Saccharomyces cerevisiae S288C: one gene and its partners. The gene in region 1 interacts genetically with each later gene. Each region holds a gene or a part of one and is shown in the gene's direction. Other genes may lie near its edges. The genes, in order: NHA1, VCX1 and ETP1.

What was found.
Region 2: of NHA1 (region 1) and VCX1, extra expression of one rescues a mutant of the other (dosage rescue), as found in Saccharomyces cerevisiae (one study listed by BioGRID).
Region 3: of NHA1 (region 1) and ETP1, a mutation in one rescues a mutant of the other (synthetic rescue), as found in Saccharomyces cerevisiae (one study listed by BioGRID).

Annotation. Positions count from the first base shown.
Region 1 is NC_001144.5:415,763-421,309, forward strand, and holds the start of NHA1 (Nha1p), read left to right. Parts: upstream 1-2,674; coding exon 2,675-5,547. Other genes in the region: TIS11 (Tis11p), read right to left, coding at 39-896; RKM5 (S-adenosylmethionine-dependent methyltransferase), read left to right, coding at 1,244-2,347. UniProt on the Saccharomyces cerevisiae protein: Sodium export from cell, takes up external protons in exchange for internal sodium ions. Also capable of exporting potassium ions.
Region 2 is NC_001136.10:229,277-234,823, forward strand, and holds VCX1 (Vcx1p), read left to right. Parts: upstream 1-3,375; coding exon 3,376-4,611; downstream 4,612-5,547. Other genes in the region: STF1 (ATPase-binding protein), read left to right, coding at 1-155; ribosomal protein P1 RPP1B, read left to right, coding at 630-743, 1,045-1,251; YDL129W (uncharacterized protein), read left to right, coding at 1,748-2,623.
Region 3 is NC_001140.6:81,124-86,670, reverse strand, and holds ETP1 (Etp1p), read left to right. Parts: upstream 1-2,949; coding exon 2,950-4,707; downstream 4,708-5,547. Other genes in the region: YHL009W-A (gag protein), read right to left, coding at 1-762; YAP3 (Yap3p), read left to right, coding at 1,611-2,603; ribose phosphate diphosphokinase subunit PRS3, read left to right, coding at 5,055-5,547.

The DNA of each region.
Region 1 (5,547 bases):
TAGTTGAGACGCCGGTCTTCGCCAGGCCAGGAATTGTTTCACCAGGTCATTCTCTGCAAAGCCTTTACTTTAACATTTAGATTCTTCTTCTTGGCGGAGCCGCGACCATTGCTTCTCTTTTCGTCTGATTGTTTGCTAGTCGAAGAGACGTTACAGTAAGTACCAGCTTTCACGTAAACAGCAATGTCGTTGTCGTCGCCATGTTTGAAGCAGCATCTTCTGCCATAAGGACAATAACCTAGTTTCTCCCAATTCACACAGGGCTTCGTCCTGAAATTCTTGCACGATTTCTTAACCTTTAATTCGCCGAGTCCGTGAGCAAACTGACACTTACTGCCATAAGGGCAACTTCCTTTTAAAGTGAATGATTCGCACAGCTCTGTCTTGTATAATTGTTTGGGAGTTTCCTGCACTTGGCTTTTCACCTTAGGTTGAGCTGAGGATTCCTTCTCTGATGAAAAAGAAGCATCATTTTTGGGCTTTTGTTGAGACAACTGTTGCAAATTCTGTGAAGTTAATGGTAATTGTGAAGATTTTGGGACATAGTCCGGATTTATTTGTACCTCTAGTTTCTTTTTAAAAGTAGTAGGTGCCGTGCTATTCAGGTGAGCGGATGGGAGAAAAGGGTTCATTAACTGTGGATCATACAGTAGCCCCGGTTGAATAGCGTTTGTATTTTTTGGTGGAGAGAATGAAACTGCCGAAGATATTTCACTGCTTGTTTCCTGTATGTTATCCTCGTTTAAAATCGTCTTGTTGTAATACTCCTCCAGTTCCCTAATATTGATCTGGTACTGGTAGTCATTTAATGGATTTTGCTCTTGATCTGTGGAAAACAACGACGTTAAGTCAGTCTTCTGAGATTCTGGTCTAGTATATGATAATTGAGCCCACATATTGCGTTATTTTTTACGTATTGAGTTTGCAGCACTGTTTCGCTTTCTCTCAAGATGCACAAATACGACCTACCAAGAGCCTCCAAGTCCCACCAACGATTATGTCTTCTCTCAAATATATATACAAGTTACATGTAGAGAAATCGAGACGAGATTGCTGGCACAATGCACCCAACTGCATGTGCCATTGTGCATCTACACCTCCAAATTAGGGTGTCGATTGGCGTCGTCTTCTTTAATGTGGGTGCATTTTGCGGCGGCGCGACAAATATAGAGAACTGACCAAGGCAGTGCTGTCAAGAAGAGAGAATGGTTACGGCAGCGAAGACGCAAATGGGCTAGGCAGAATGGCATTCAAGTTATGGCTACTGGATGAGGAAACAATATACGAGCACGTGTTCGAACGGTACACACAATTGGAGGGCCAGTCCGGGAAACTGGCGCAGGATTTGGGTATTCAGGATAGAAGGGGCGGTGTGCTAGAGATAACGTTTGAACCCTCTGGGCTGGAAGGCGGCAGAAAAAAAAAGCGAGTGAGAAGAAGAAATAAGGCTAGTAGTGTTGAAGAAGATCAGAATGTTGCTGTGGATAGCTATCATGTTAGCGTGGGGCAGTCCATATCAAGCTTGCGCTCGTCCAGAGACAACGGAAACTCCACCACAGGATACGTTTTGTGGTCTACCACACCTTTCTTCATCAACTGGCTGCTGTATAGTACTAGCGCTGCACCTTTCCGTCTTGGGAGTCAGGTGGAAGTAACCTGCGGGTCTTCTTGCGAGGGGCACAAGCTTGAGTTGCCCAGGCTGGTCGACCTCACGGGCGCTGATCGCGGCAAGAGAGGTATCTTGGAACTTGGAGCAGGAATATCAGGTATTTTGCCCGTGATTCTTGGTAACTTCGTCGACACCTACGTGTCGACAGATCAGAAGGGCATTCTTAATAAATTAAAAGATAACATCATGGAAAACTTATCACAGTTGACCAGAAAGCGGTGCATTTCCCGATCACTAAGATTGGAACTTCCCACCGTCGAACCAGTTGGCGACGCTGATATCACCGCAGCGTCACTTCCATCTAAGTCTACGTTGCATTTGGAAGTAGCCGCTCTAGACTGGGAGAAGATAAACTTGCAAGACAAAAAGACCCACTCTCTGCATCCTGAGTTGTCACTCATAGGTGAAACATGTTCTTCCGTGTACGTTATAGCTATGGATGTCATATACAACGAGTACCTGATAGATCCGTTTCTGAAGACGCTCAAGCAACTCAAACACTGGTTACAAACTACCTACAATTTGCAATTCCATGTCCTCGTGGGGATACACTTGCGGTCACAAGAGGTGACAACACTGTTCTTGGAGAAAGCCATCATAGAATATGACTTCACGGTTTATGATATCGTTGACCAGGTCATACAAGAGTCCCGTTTTAACTTTTATCTTATCACCTAGTCCCATATATAATAATAGAAACAATATAATGCTGATAATCTTATTTTTCTTTGCGATGCGGCAGTGCCTCTTCCCCTCCGTACGGATTGGGAAGATTTTCATTTTTGATTAGCAAGGGCACTAAGCCAACTCTGTGTGATATAGCTAATAATCTAAAAGCTGCTGGATCCGTTATCGTCAAGATAAAGCGGACTTAGCGATTTACATAGGATCACACTTTCTACACACATTTGATTTTTAAGCTTCATTTTCCACTGCACTTATTTTTCCCAAGCATCGTGTTTTTTTGTACATTATAAAAAAAAATCCTGAACTTAGCTAGATATTATGGCTATCTGGGAGCAACTAGAAGTCTCAAAGGCGCACGTTGCTTATGCATGTGTTGGTGTCTTTTCATCTATCTTCTCTTTAGTGTCACTTTATGTCAAGGAGAAGCTTTATATTGGTGAGTCCACCGTAGCAGGTATATTTGGGCTAATTGTGGGTCCTGTTTGCTTGAACTGGTTTAATCCTCTGAAATGGGGGAATTCAGACAGTATAACATTAGAGATAACGAGAATAGTATTATGTTTGCAAATTTTTGCCGTTGCCGTGGAACTGCCACGGAAATATATGTTGAAGCATTGGGTATCTGTGACGATGCTATTATTGCCAGTGATGACAGCTGGATGGCTTATTATTGGTCTCTTCGTTTGGATTCTTATACCTGGCTTGAATTTTTCTGCTAGTTTGTTGATATCTGCGTGCATTACCGCAACAGATCCTATTCTGGCGCAGTCGGTCGTCTCCGGTAAGTTTGCCCAAAGAGTACCTGGTCACTTAAGAAATCTACTGTCTGCAGAGTCAGGCTGCAATGATGGTATGGCCTTTCCTTTTTTATTTCTTTCTATGAATTTAATCCTACATCCCGGTAATGGAAGAGAAATTGTCAAAGATTGGATTTGCGTTACTATCCTGTATGAGTGTTTGTTTGGATGCTTGCTAGGTTGCTTCATTGGTTATGTAGGCAGAATCACCATCAGGTTTGCCGAAAAGAAAAACATTATCGATCGTGAGTCGTTCTTAGCATTTTACGTTGTCCTGGCGTTCATGTGTGCTGGGTTCGGCTCCATTTTGGGTGTGGATGACCTATTGGTATCATTTGCAGCCGGTGCGACTTTCGCTTGGGATGGGTGGTTTTCTCAAAAGACACAAGAAAGTAATGTTTCTACCGTGATTGATTTGCTACTAAACTATGCGTATTTTATCTATTTTGGTGCCATTATACCTTGGAGTCAATTCAACAACGGTGAAATTGGCACAAACGTCTGGCGTTTAATTATACTTTCGATAGTGGTCATCTTTTTACGTAGGATCCCTGCAGTCATGATATTAAGACCTCTTATACCTGATATAAAATCGTGGCGTGAGGCACTTTTTGTGGGCCATTTTGGTCCTATTGGTGTAGGTGCAATTTTTGCCGCTATACTAGCTCGTGGAGAATTAGAGTCTACCTTTAGTGACGAACCCACTCCTTTAAATGTTGTACCATCAAAAGAGGAAAGTAAACATTGGCAGCTGATAGCCTGTATATGGCCAATAACTTGTTTTTTCATTGTTACTTCTATCATAGTTCATGGTTCTTCAGTTGCAATCATAACTCTAGGTCGTCATTTGAACACGATAACGTTAACCAAAACATTCACTACACACACCACCAATGGTGATAATGGGAAAAGTTCATGGATGCAAAGGTTGCCATCGTTGGATAAAGCTGGACGATCATTTTCATTGCATCGTATGGATACTCAAATGACTTTATCAGGGGATGAAGGTGAAGCAGAAGAAGGAGGAGGTCGTAAGGGACTAGCAGGAGGTGAAGATGAAGAAGGATTAAACAATGATCAAATTGGTAGCGTCGCAACGAGCGGAATTCCTGCAAGACCCGCTGGTGGTATGCCAAGGAGGAGGAAATTGTCAAGAAAAGAGAAAAGATTGAACAGAAGACAGAAACTGAGAAACAAAGGTAGAGAAATATTTTCATCAAGATCTAAAAATGAAATGTATGATGACGATGAGTTGAATGATCTGGGACGAGAAAGGTTGCAAAAAGAAAAGGAAGCACGCGCCGCCACATTTGCATTGAGCACAGCCGTCAATACACAACGTAATGAGGAGATTGGAATGGGTGGAGATGAAGAAGAAGATGAGTACACACCGGAAAAGGAATATAGCGATAATTACAATAACACACCAAGTTTTGAGTCGTCTGAAAGATCTTCATCTCTCCGAGGAAGAACTTACGTACCAAGAAACCGTTACGATGGAGAAGAGACAGAAAGCGAGATTGAAAGCGAAGACGAGATGGAAAATGAAAGTGAAAGATCAATGGCCAGTAGTGAAGAGAGGAGAATTCGAAAAATGAAAGAGGAAGAAATGAAACCTGGTACTGCTTATTTAGATGGTAATAGAATGATTATTGAAAATAAGCAAGGTGAAATCTTGAATCAAGTAGATATCGAGGATCGCAATGAGGCGAGAGATGACGAAGTTAGTGTTGATAGTACAGCCCATTCAAGTTTAACTACCACAATGACCAATCTATCCAGTAGTAGTGGGGGAAGGTTAAAGAGAATTTTAACTCCCACATCTTTAGGAAAGATACATTCATTGGTTGATAAAGGAAAGGATAAAAATAAAAACAGCAAGTATCATGCATTTAAAATAGACAATCTGTTAATCATCGAGAATGAGGACGGTGATGTTATAAAAAGATACAAGATAAATCCTCATAAATCTGATGATGATAAAAGTAAAAACCGCCCAAGAAACGATAGTGTTGTATCAAGAGCTTTAACAGCAGTAGGACTAAAGAGCAAAGCGAACAGCGGCGTACCGCCTCCAGTAGATGAAGAAAAAGCCATCGAAGGACCCTCCAGGAAGGGCCCAGGGATGTTAAAGAAAAGGACATTAACACCTGCGCCACCGAGAGGAGTTCAAGATTCCTTAGATCTGGAAGATGAACCTTCATCTGAGGAGGATTTAGGTGATAGTTATAACATGGACGATAGTGAAGATTACGACGATAATGCATATGAATCAGAAACTGAATTCGAAAGACAAAGAAGGTTAAATGCGTTAGGTGAGATGACGGCACCAGCGGATCAAGATGACGAAGAGTTGCCGCCCTTACCTGTGGAGGCACAAACAGGAAACGATGG
Region 2 (5,547 bases), on another chromosome or scaffold:
CTCAAGATATCTTTATCAAGAGAGAACGTGCCAAAGAGGATTATTATGCCAGACAACAAGAGAGGGAACAATTAGCACATGTGAAGGAACAACTAAAAGAACACAAGAAAAAATTAGAGAATTTAGAAAACAAAATTAATAACCTTTCAAAGTGATTGGTCATTGTTAAGGCTAAAGGTTCTGCAGACACGTTTTGTACGTAGAAAGAAGCAATCATGCCAAATCAAAATTAGGAAATGAACATCAGTGGTATTTTATAAGCCTGCACATTATATATAGTATATACGTCACGAATACAGGAACACCGTCAGTTAGAGAAACGTCGCCTCAGTTTGCTCCTCAGATATTCCTTTAAACCCATACATATCTTACACAAAACATCCGTACATCAGAAGGATTATATGAAACGCAAAAAAAAATAAAATTTTCATTTCTGCGTGTCGCGCGAAGGAGAAATCTTAGAATTGAAACTTCCGGCTAACGGTTGCTAAAACTAGTTTCCAATGTAATACCAAATAAGCATTTGATGTTGAATCTGTAAGCCCCTTCGTGATATTTCAAGGTTAAATTACGAATTGCAGTTTCAGTTAATCTTGGACTAACAAAGAAATCAAACAACTAAGAAGAAAATGTCTGACTCTATTATTTCCTTTGCTGCTTTCATCCTAGCTGATGCTGGTTTGGAAATCACCTCTGACAACTTATTGACTATCACCAAGGCCGCTGGTGCTAATGTCGACAACGTATGTACAAAAATGCAACCTAAAACGACTTTGTGTGACTACGAAGAGAAAGATTAGACAACAATCGTCCCGAGAAATGCGCAATTTTGAATAATGGGGGACAGAAAAATTCCATGTAACGTTTCCCTCTAACATGATGAGATACTAGGGGGCAATACATGTAGAAATATTTCTCCATTAACGTATTTAACGGAAAGCACAAGTCAGGATCGAATTACTTCTTCAAGGATCTCATTTTACTAACAAACTCAACGAATAACGACTCTTCCTATGGAGCTTGTTATATGTATCATTGAATTAGGTCTGGGCTGATGTTTACGCTAAGGCTTTGGAAGGTAAGGACTTGAAGGAAATCCTATCTGGTTTCCATAACGCTGGCCCTGTTGCTGGTGCTGGTGCTGCTTCTGGCGCTGCCGCTGCTGGTGGTGACGCTGCTGCTGAAGAAGAAAAAGAAGAAGAAGCTGCTGAAGAATCTGACGACGACATGGGTTTCGGTTTATTCGACTAAACATACAAGGAAAGTCATTTTTTCTGCAACGTTTTTTTACCCTTTATGTATATATATTTACATATAAAATAAACCTCTAATCAATCAGTATTTAAAAATCGGAAGTAATGTCCATACGAAAGGGCTACGAGAATTTAACCATCTCGTTCTTTGCTAGAAATGGCACTGCGGGATAGCCCCTGGTTGCGGGATATCAGACCTGTCGTCACCATAGCAACCAAAAATTACATAAACCCATGGTTGCTCGCCCTTTGATGGCGACGCCGACCGAAGCTTCTCCCGCGCACATTTTTAAAATTTTTACTCATCGGGAATGAAAGGTTCTTTGACACATGTAAAGCTCCCTAAGTTGGACATACGTCGGTCCTTACAGGCTTAGCAATACACCTATAAGGCACTAGAAACGTATAAAATTTGAGCACTTTAGTTTCTCATCCCTTTTGATACGAAACGCGGGCAAGGCTACGGCATACAGGAATTTAACATTTTGTTGGCTATGGAGCTAAGAAGTAGACGGAGCGCAGAGGCCTATCTTGTCACGCCTGAGGAACCTGCCAAGAATAAGAGTGAACGGAGCATAGAATCCAATGAGAGGGTCGGCACGAGGGAAGCAAAGAGCGAGAACACAAGTGTATTTAGTCCCGCTTACTCTGATACCGCTACTACAGATTCATCGAAGAAAGTTGATGACAATGAATACTACAATTTTACTAGTCACTTCATGCCATCTTTGAAAAACACCAGAGAACTAGAAAACACAATTCTCAATCTCATACAGAGGATAAAGGAAGGGGATGATGAAACGTTAGTTAGTGAGAAAGATCTCATATTAAGTGTGCTTAACAGGTCTTTAGCATCCACATCTCACTGGAAGTTACAGGCCCAGCTATCGGAGTTAAGGGCCACCTCAGAGGGAAGGTATGCAGTTGAGACAAACTTGTTGAAAAAAGAGGTAGAATTTTTAAAAAACAAGACCCCAAAAACCAACGAAAGTGCAAGTTCCGCAGAGTTGAGACCACTTCTTGAACGACCTTTAAAGCGTAAACTGTCATTGCCAGGACTAGCGCAAAGACCATTATCCACTGGCGCTAGGCTAGAAGGAGGATATGGAGGTGTATCGCCGAACTCATGGAAAACCAAAGTTCCAAAACTTCCTCTTCCTGCTTCCCGGCCGTCTTTGAATCTTTCTCCCCAAAAAGTCCCAACGGGTACTGATAAAGTTGAGGAAGATACCAAAATTGACACATTGGAATTAGTAGAGAACAATAAACCGCATCCAAGGATGAGAAGAAGGAGTGACAATCCAGCAACAAACGAATATGTGAGAGTTTTTCATTTGGAGAAAAAAGAACCTAAATCACGAAAAAAATAGTATGCTAGAAAAAAATATTATTGAACGTCAATAATTTTTCTTTCTCATGGGACCAAACACATCATTTATTCTCTAATAATATTCTATTCTCTTTATTTCTGGTTTACTCTTTTAAAATTCTCCAAAGAGAAATATCTCCTTCAATTCTTCAGTTACGAATTTATGTTTACTTTTAACCTCTATCATACACCTTTAATCTAATGCCTCCAACTGTCTGTAATTTTAGTACAACTTAAAAGGGAAATTTTCCGAAAGTGTGAAAAAATTGGATTTTTTTTTCTCCTATTGAACTCAATGGAAGCTATCAGTTTGGAGAGGGACAATTATTTTCCTTCTTGTTTTTTGCCAAGAGAACAATATTGTAGTATTTAAGTTCTAATTTAATGTTATATATACTTATCTAATAGTTTTTTTTTTTCAATTAGATTGTTTTCCTTACGACGTTAATCCCTTGTCATCCTCACTTACGAACTTCGATGAATATGACATACGTAATCGGGAATGTTTTGTAAACTAATTGACGTAGTTCCTTTTTCGTAAACTGGACTGGACGGCTTGATCAAAATTCCCGAAAAATAAAAATTTCCCTCACGAGAATATGGAAATTACTATCGCCCAGCATTATTTTATCTCCTCAGAGAGTAAAAGAAGTTTCCTCTTTCCTAAACTTAAAAAGCAGTCCTAAATATATAGTTGACTTCGACGCATATCATTCATCGGCTGCTGATAGCAAATAAAACAACATAGATACAATGGATGCAACTACCCCACTATTAACTGTTGCGAACAGTCATCCCGCCCGCAATCCAAAGCACACTGCATGGAGAGCAGCTGTGTATGATTTACAGTATATTTTGAAAGCGTCACCCCTGAATTTCCTATTGGTATTTGTTCCTTTAGGTCTGATTTGGGGACACTTCCAACTATCTCATACACTGACATTTCTTTTTAATTTCTTGGCAATTATACCGTTGGCAGCTATCTTGGCTAATGCCACGGAAGAGTTGGCTGATAAGGCTGGTAACACCATTGGGGGACTGCTAAATGCTACTTTTGGTAACGCTGTGGAACTAATTGTTTCTATCATTGCCCTGAAAAAAGGTCAAGTGAGAATTGTGCAGGCCTCGATGCTAGGTAGTCTTCTTTCTAATTTGCTGTTAGTGCTTGGATTATGCTTCATATTCGGTGGATACAATAGAGTCCAACAGACATTCAACCAAACCGCCGCTCAAACAATGTCCTCATTACTTGCCATTGCGTGTGCATCCCTACTGATTCCCGCTGCCTTTAGAGCCACCCTACCTCATGGCAAGGAAGACCACTTCATCGATGGAAAAATATTGGAGTTATCCAGAGGCACCTCTATTGTTATTCTCATCGTTTACGTTTTGTTCTTATATTTCCAGCTAGGGAGCCATCACGCCTTGTTTGAGCAACAAGAAGAAGAGACCGATGAAGTTATGAGCACCATTTCCAGGAATCCACATCACTCTTTGAGTGTCAAGTCATCATTGGTGATACTTCTAGGTACAACTGTGATCATCTCTTTTTGTGCGGATTTTCTAGTCGGTACGATAGACAACGTTGTTGAATCTACCGGGCTATCTAAAACATTTATAGGTTTGATTGTCATTCCTATTGTGGGTAATGCCGCAGAGCATGTCACTTCAGTCTTGGTGGCCATGAAGGATAAGATGGATCTGGCGCTAGGTGTTGCCATCGGTTCCTCTTTACAAGTTGCCTTATTTGTTACACCATTCATGGTTCTTGTGGGCTGGATGATCGATGTTCCAATGACGCTAAATTTCTCCACTTTTGAAACCGCTACTCTTTTTATTGCTGTTTTCTTATCCAATTACTTAATTCTCGATGGTGAGTCAAACTGGTTGGAGGGTGTCATGTCTCTAGCTATGTATATTTTGATTGCAATGGCATTTTTCTATTATCCAGACGAAAAAACCCTTGACTCTATTGGAAATAGTTTATGAGTAAGAACAGTAGCGCAGAAATTCACCATTCTCTTTTTTTTTATATTTTATCTTCTTCGTAATTCTATCGATGGACCAATACAAAGATGATTATGACTAGCAAGTCATTATTATGATCGTTATATTATACATATTATGTTTACGCAACTAATTTTTATATCGAATTTTATCTGAAAAAAAGTTTTCAAAACCAACAAAATATTTTGTACACTCTTCGAAACTCAAATTCTGCACCATTTCCATTCTGATAAAAGGTTTAATATTTCGAAGCTTCTCAACTACAGCTCGTGTTCTTCTTGCAGCACATCAGCTGCTTTGCTGCACTGTTCAGGGTAACGTTATTCATTACAACGAGAATATTTAGGAATTTTGCTCAAATTCATGGAGCTTCCTACATCATTGCACAACAGAATTTCGTTTTGTAGTATAGTTTATTAGAAACAAATGTGAATAGATCATGAGACGCGAAGCCCTATTTTAGCGGATTTTAGCCTTACATTTCTGAGTGAGAATGCCAGCTGAAACACATTCTTGTTACATCTGTCACGGCATTCCAGCTGTAAAAAACCAGCAGATATCGCATAAAAAAATGGCCAGCTATAGAATAAAATTAGCCCAGCTATATTTTTATAGCGTCTTTTGATGACGCGAAAAGTAGACTTCGCGTAACACGAAAAATGCTGGTGCAGGTGGATTTTTTTGGCAGATACTACGGTCAATTCTCCGCTCGAAGATTTTTATAGGCCTGGCTAGTTACCTATTTAGTGCAAATTGGGAAGAGATCTATTGTTCCCGCAGACACGCTAAGTGGTAGCTGTAACTTCGGAGACGTGTGAGACCTTCCTCAAACATGTTACAGGTTGATCGATTTACACATCTAATGCAAGTTTAAGTGCTTCTTAAGTGTTTTTTTCTTTAGTCTTATAAGTTCTCCTT
Region 3 (5,547 bases), on another chromosome or scaffold:
TAACAATGCGGAATTTCTACATGTTGTATCAACCAAAACCTTTTCCCAGGCTCTAATTCTGACATCTCTACCATGTAAACTTCTATATTTGTTTTTTAAACCATCGATTATCCTAAAAATGTCAGTTGTATTTGTGTTCATGATATCTAAACTTTCACCGAGTCCTTCTTTGATTATCTTGCACAAGATTTCATTTTCACGAGGATCGATTTCTATGATATCATTTTCAAAGACATCATCAAATTGATATTTCTTGATGAATTTTTTAAAATTGTTTAAGAGAATAGGAATGTTCTCGACATTATTAGTCCTATAATCAAAAACACAATCCTTAGGGTAGAATCTTTTGTTGGTTGAAGTTAACGTATCGAATAAATAGTAAGTCCCTGTAGCATCTATATGTTCATGTAATATATTATTGTTCTCGTTTGTTTCCAATAATTGTATCTTTTCAACTAGATCCACAATCCTATTCTCAACCTTGTCAATGGTTTCTCCGAGTTTTAATAATTTTTCAGCTAGCATCTGAATATCATCAGTCTCAGAAAGTTTTTCCTCTTCTGCCTTTAAACCATTTAGTATGGTTTTAAACCTATTTAAGTTTCTTTGATATTGTTTCACCTGTTCATCTTTAATAGAAACTTTTCTTAATGATGATGGCGTCTGTCTGACAGTATCATTTGTTTTGACTTTCGATTGAATCCGCGCAGAAATGTTGTCGTCAATAACATTTCTTGTTTCATCCCTCACTGGGGTCGCCATGTTGATAATTAGAGGTAAAAAATTAGTATTAATGAAGAAGTGAGTACTGATCTTCTTATACTAAATAAGAGAGGTATATAAAACACACGCCGATTGGTCATATTAATTATGACCAATATAATAGTGATTCCGGTAGTTACTATACATTGATGTGACGACTCATATTCCTCATATATGTACCTACCATAACATGTTCAACTAATAGGTCTTTAACACCGCTTCAGTATTGTCTGAGCTTCTCGTTTAACATTCCTTCTGCAATAGGCGCAATCACACTTAAACGTATACGAGTTGTACATTAATATACGATGTAAGCATTAGATTGTTACCATAGCAACTCATGTCACTATCAATTACTCTCGTTCCAACAGTATGATTCATATTTTATATAATATATATAAGATAAGTAACATTCCGTGAATTAATCTGATAAACTGTTTTGACAACTGGTTACTTCCCTAAGACTGTTTGTATTAGGATTGTCAAGACACTCCGGTATTACTCGAGCCCGTAATACAACATAATCAATAAGAATTTGGTTTCGTGGTCTAGTCGGTTATGGCATCTGCTTAACACGCAGAACGTCCCCAGTTCGATCCTGGGCGAAATCAATTTTTTTTGAATTTTTTTTTTTTCTTTAGAAAAATGTATAGTGGATTTTCGTAGCTTTATGTTAAGAGTACAGCAACGGCATTATTATTCAATAAGCATTATAAAACAGATCGATTTGAATATTACCGGAGGCCCTCTGAGCTTTCTTATTTGTTTATCATTTCGATAAAAGGGGCAGTAGGTGTTTGCTTTACTTCCAGTATAAACTAACGAAGAATAAGGCTGAAGCAATTGTTATGACGCCTTCTAATATGGATGATAATACCAGCGGATTCATGAAATTTATTAACCCTCAATGCCAAGAGGAGGATTGTTGTATCAGAAATAGTCTATTCCAAGAAGATAGCAAATGTATAAAACAACAACCAGACCTATTGAGCGAGCAAACAGCACCCTTCCCAATTTTGGAAGACCAGTGTCCTGCTTTGAACCTTGACAGATCAAATAATGATTTGCTATTACAGAACAACATATCTTTCCCTAAGGGTAGTGATCTTCAAGCAATTCAACTAACCCCTATTTCAGGCGACTACTCTACCTATGTTATGGCAGATAACAATAATAATGATAATGATAGTTATAGTAATACAAATTATTTTTCTAAAAATAATGGTATATCTCCAAGTTCGAGGAGTCCCTCAGTTGCTCATAATGAGAATGTTCCAGATGACTCTAAGGCAAAGAAAAAGGCTCAAAACAGAGCCGCCCAAAAAGCCTTCAGAGAGAGAAAAGAAGCCAGAATGAAAGAATTACAAGATAAATTGTTAGAAAGTGAAAGGAACCGCCAAAGTTTATTGAAAGAAATTGAGGAACTAAGAAAGGCAAATACTGAAATCAACGCAGAGAACAGACTGCTACTGCGGAGTGGTAATGAAAATTTTTCAAAGGACATAGAAGATGATACCAACTACAAATATTCTTTCCCAACGAAAGATGAATTTTTTACCTCTATGGTCCTGGAAAGCAAACTGAATCACAAAGGCAAGTATTCGCTAAAGGATAATGAAATTATGAAGCGAAATACCCAGTATACTGACGAAGCAGGAAGACATGTACTAACAGTCCCCGCCACCTGGGAGTATCTTTACAAACTTTCAGAAGAGAGGGACTTTGATGTGACATACGTTATGAGCAAATTGCAAGGACAAGAATGTTGTCATACCCATGGACCTGCGTATCCAAGAAGTTTAATCGATTTTCTAGTGGAGGAAGCTACTTTGAATGAATGAATAGACTTTGACAAAAATAACTTACAAACACTAAATAAGAAAGGGCAGGCAACATCTTCATGAGGCAAACCAGGTTCTTTTTTTATTGACTTCGAAGTATACATTTTCATCGCATAATTGACACACAATACGCCCTTTACCATTCCAACCTACTACACCTTTTACTTATATAAGTGTATAAACTATGTTCTTACGCGGTGTTTTTAGGGGACGGCCTGTTATAAAATGGAAAATATAAAAATGAAATTTCACCCGCGGATTAAGTAAAAGTTCAAAGGAAAACACATAGAGGCAATAACGGAATAGTAGCATTGAATGTATTACTTTCTGGTTGGCCCTCACATCTATGGATCAATTTGAGTATATCATTACTTTAGAATTTGGAAACCAAAATCAGGTTGAATCCGCTTATCAAATTTTCAAGAGTATTCCGAAAAAGTTGAAGGCAAAAAGTATCGGGGAAGAAAGTATTAAAAGTAATAATCAAGACTGGCAGGATTGGAGAGTCTGTGACTTGGAAATAGACATGATAACTGATTTCAAAAATCAAACATCAAAAGAAGAGGAAAGTGATTTGATTACTTCACAATACTTAGGCCATGGGATAATAAGGCTATTCAAGCTAAGCAATGCCAATAATACTCTTAATGAGAAGGAGATTTTGACTATCCCGGGAGATGATACTATGATATGTATCCTGTTTGTTCCAACTTATTTTACCGTTCACGATTTATTGCATTTTTATATTGGTGATGATATTGTTAATAAGCAAGTTTCAAACTTTCGTATATTACGAAATCAGCAGAAGGGAATGGGTTTTAATTTCACGGTCTTAATTAAATTCAGGAATGCACTTGATGCGAAAAATTTCAAGGAAGAGTTCAATGGCAAAAGTTTCAGCAGGATGGATCCCGAAACATGCCATGTGATCTCTGTAAAAGAAATAGTTTTTCAAAAAAAGCTCTTCCAAAGACCAGCCGCTAACGAGGACTTCCCCTATCTGCTTACTGATCCATTCACTGTTAAGAAAAAAAAGGAACTGGTAAAAGTCGAACTCCCCACATGTCCCGTTTGCCTTGAAAGAATGGATTCAGAAACTACTGGATTAGTAACGATCCCGTGCCAGCACACTTTTCATTGCCAATGCTTAAATAAGTGGAAGAATTCAAGGTGTCCAGTGTGTCGACATTCAAGTCTGCGGCTAAGCAGGGAATCATTATTGAAACAGGCAGGTGATTCCGCACATTGTGCAACATGTGGTTCCACTGATAATCTATGGATTTGCTTGATCTGCGGTAATGTTGGATGCGGTCGTTACAATTCCAAACACGCAATCAAGCATTATGAAGAAACTTTACATTGTTTTGCGATGGATATACGGACACAAAGAGTGTGGGATTATGCGGGTGATAATTATGTCCATCGCCTAGTTCAAAATGAAGTTGATGGGAAGTTAGTAGAGGTCGGCGGCTCCGGTGACGATGACAACAATGATATAGGCAACTCCGATGAACTACAAAATGTTGTTTACGGGAACAGGAGCAAAAACGGTGAGAAATCGAACTCTAATAAAAAAGATGGCGAGCTGGCGGCAAATTTTTTAAGGCATAGGGAGTATCATCTAGAATATGTGCAAGTCCTAATATCTCAATTAGAGTCTCAAAGAGAATATTATGAACTGAAATTACAAGAAAAAGATCAAACTGCGTCTGATTCTTCGAATGTTGAAAGTTTGAAGAAGTCTATGGAAGATTTGAAACTCCAATTTCAGGTCACTCAAAAGGAGTGGCAGAAAAGGGAAATGGCCCAGAAATCTAAGCTTGAGGAAGATATGTTAGTAATCGAAGGACTACAAGCGAACCTAGATCACTTATCAAAAAAACAAGAGCAGTTAGAGCGAGAAAACAAAGCGTTAGAAGAGTCTAAACAAGATTTGGAAGAGCAAGTCAAGGACCTAATGTTTTATCTAGATTCTCAAGAAAAATTCAAAGACGCTGATGAGAGTGTAAAAGAAGGTACCATCCTAATACAGCAACCACATGGGGCAGCACAGGCATCCAAAAGCAAGAAGAAGCGCAACAAAAATAAAAAAGCAGGGAAATGATTATCTTCATCACCGCCATACCATTCTTGCATTCTAAATTTATTATATCTCTGTGTACGGCAGGCTCATCGATTTTTCTTTTCTTTTTTTTTTTTTTTTTTTTTTGCCTGCGAAAATTTTCCAGTCGAATAGTAAGTAATAGGATGAGTTTTATAAAGTTATGATTGCGAACGGTATTATTCGCTAAACTCGTATCTGTTTATAATCACGTACCCTCTTATTTACTTACTTTTTCTTGAATATATCTAAGAAAGATTCATACTCTTTTTTCTACGTACTTTGCCAGCGCAGGATAAACGAACCTACCCATTCAAACTGAGCCTCATATATTCACTTAGGATTACAAAATGCCAACAAATTCCATCAAATTATTAGCACCAGATGTCCACCGAGGTTTAGCTGAACTTGTTGCCAAAAGGCTAGGTCTACAGTTAACAAGCAGCAAACTAAAGAGAGATCCAACCGGTGAGGTTTCCTTTTCTATTGGAGAATCTGTTAGGGACCAAGATATCTTTATCATCACGCAAATTGGCTCTGGTGTCGTGAACGATCGTGTTCTAGAACTACTGATCATGATCAATGCTTCGAAGACTGCGTCTGCAAGAAGAATCACTGCTATTATTCCAAATTTCCCATATGCAAGACAAGATAGAAAGGATAAGTCTCGTGCTCCTATTACCGCTAAATTGATGGCCGATATGTTAACAACAGCCGGGTGTGATCATGTTATTACTATGGATTTGCATGCTTCCCAAATTCAAGGGTTCTTCGACGTCCCAGTAGATAATTTATATGCAGAACCAAGCGTAGTTAGGTATATCAAGGAAAATGTCAACTATA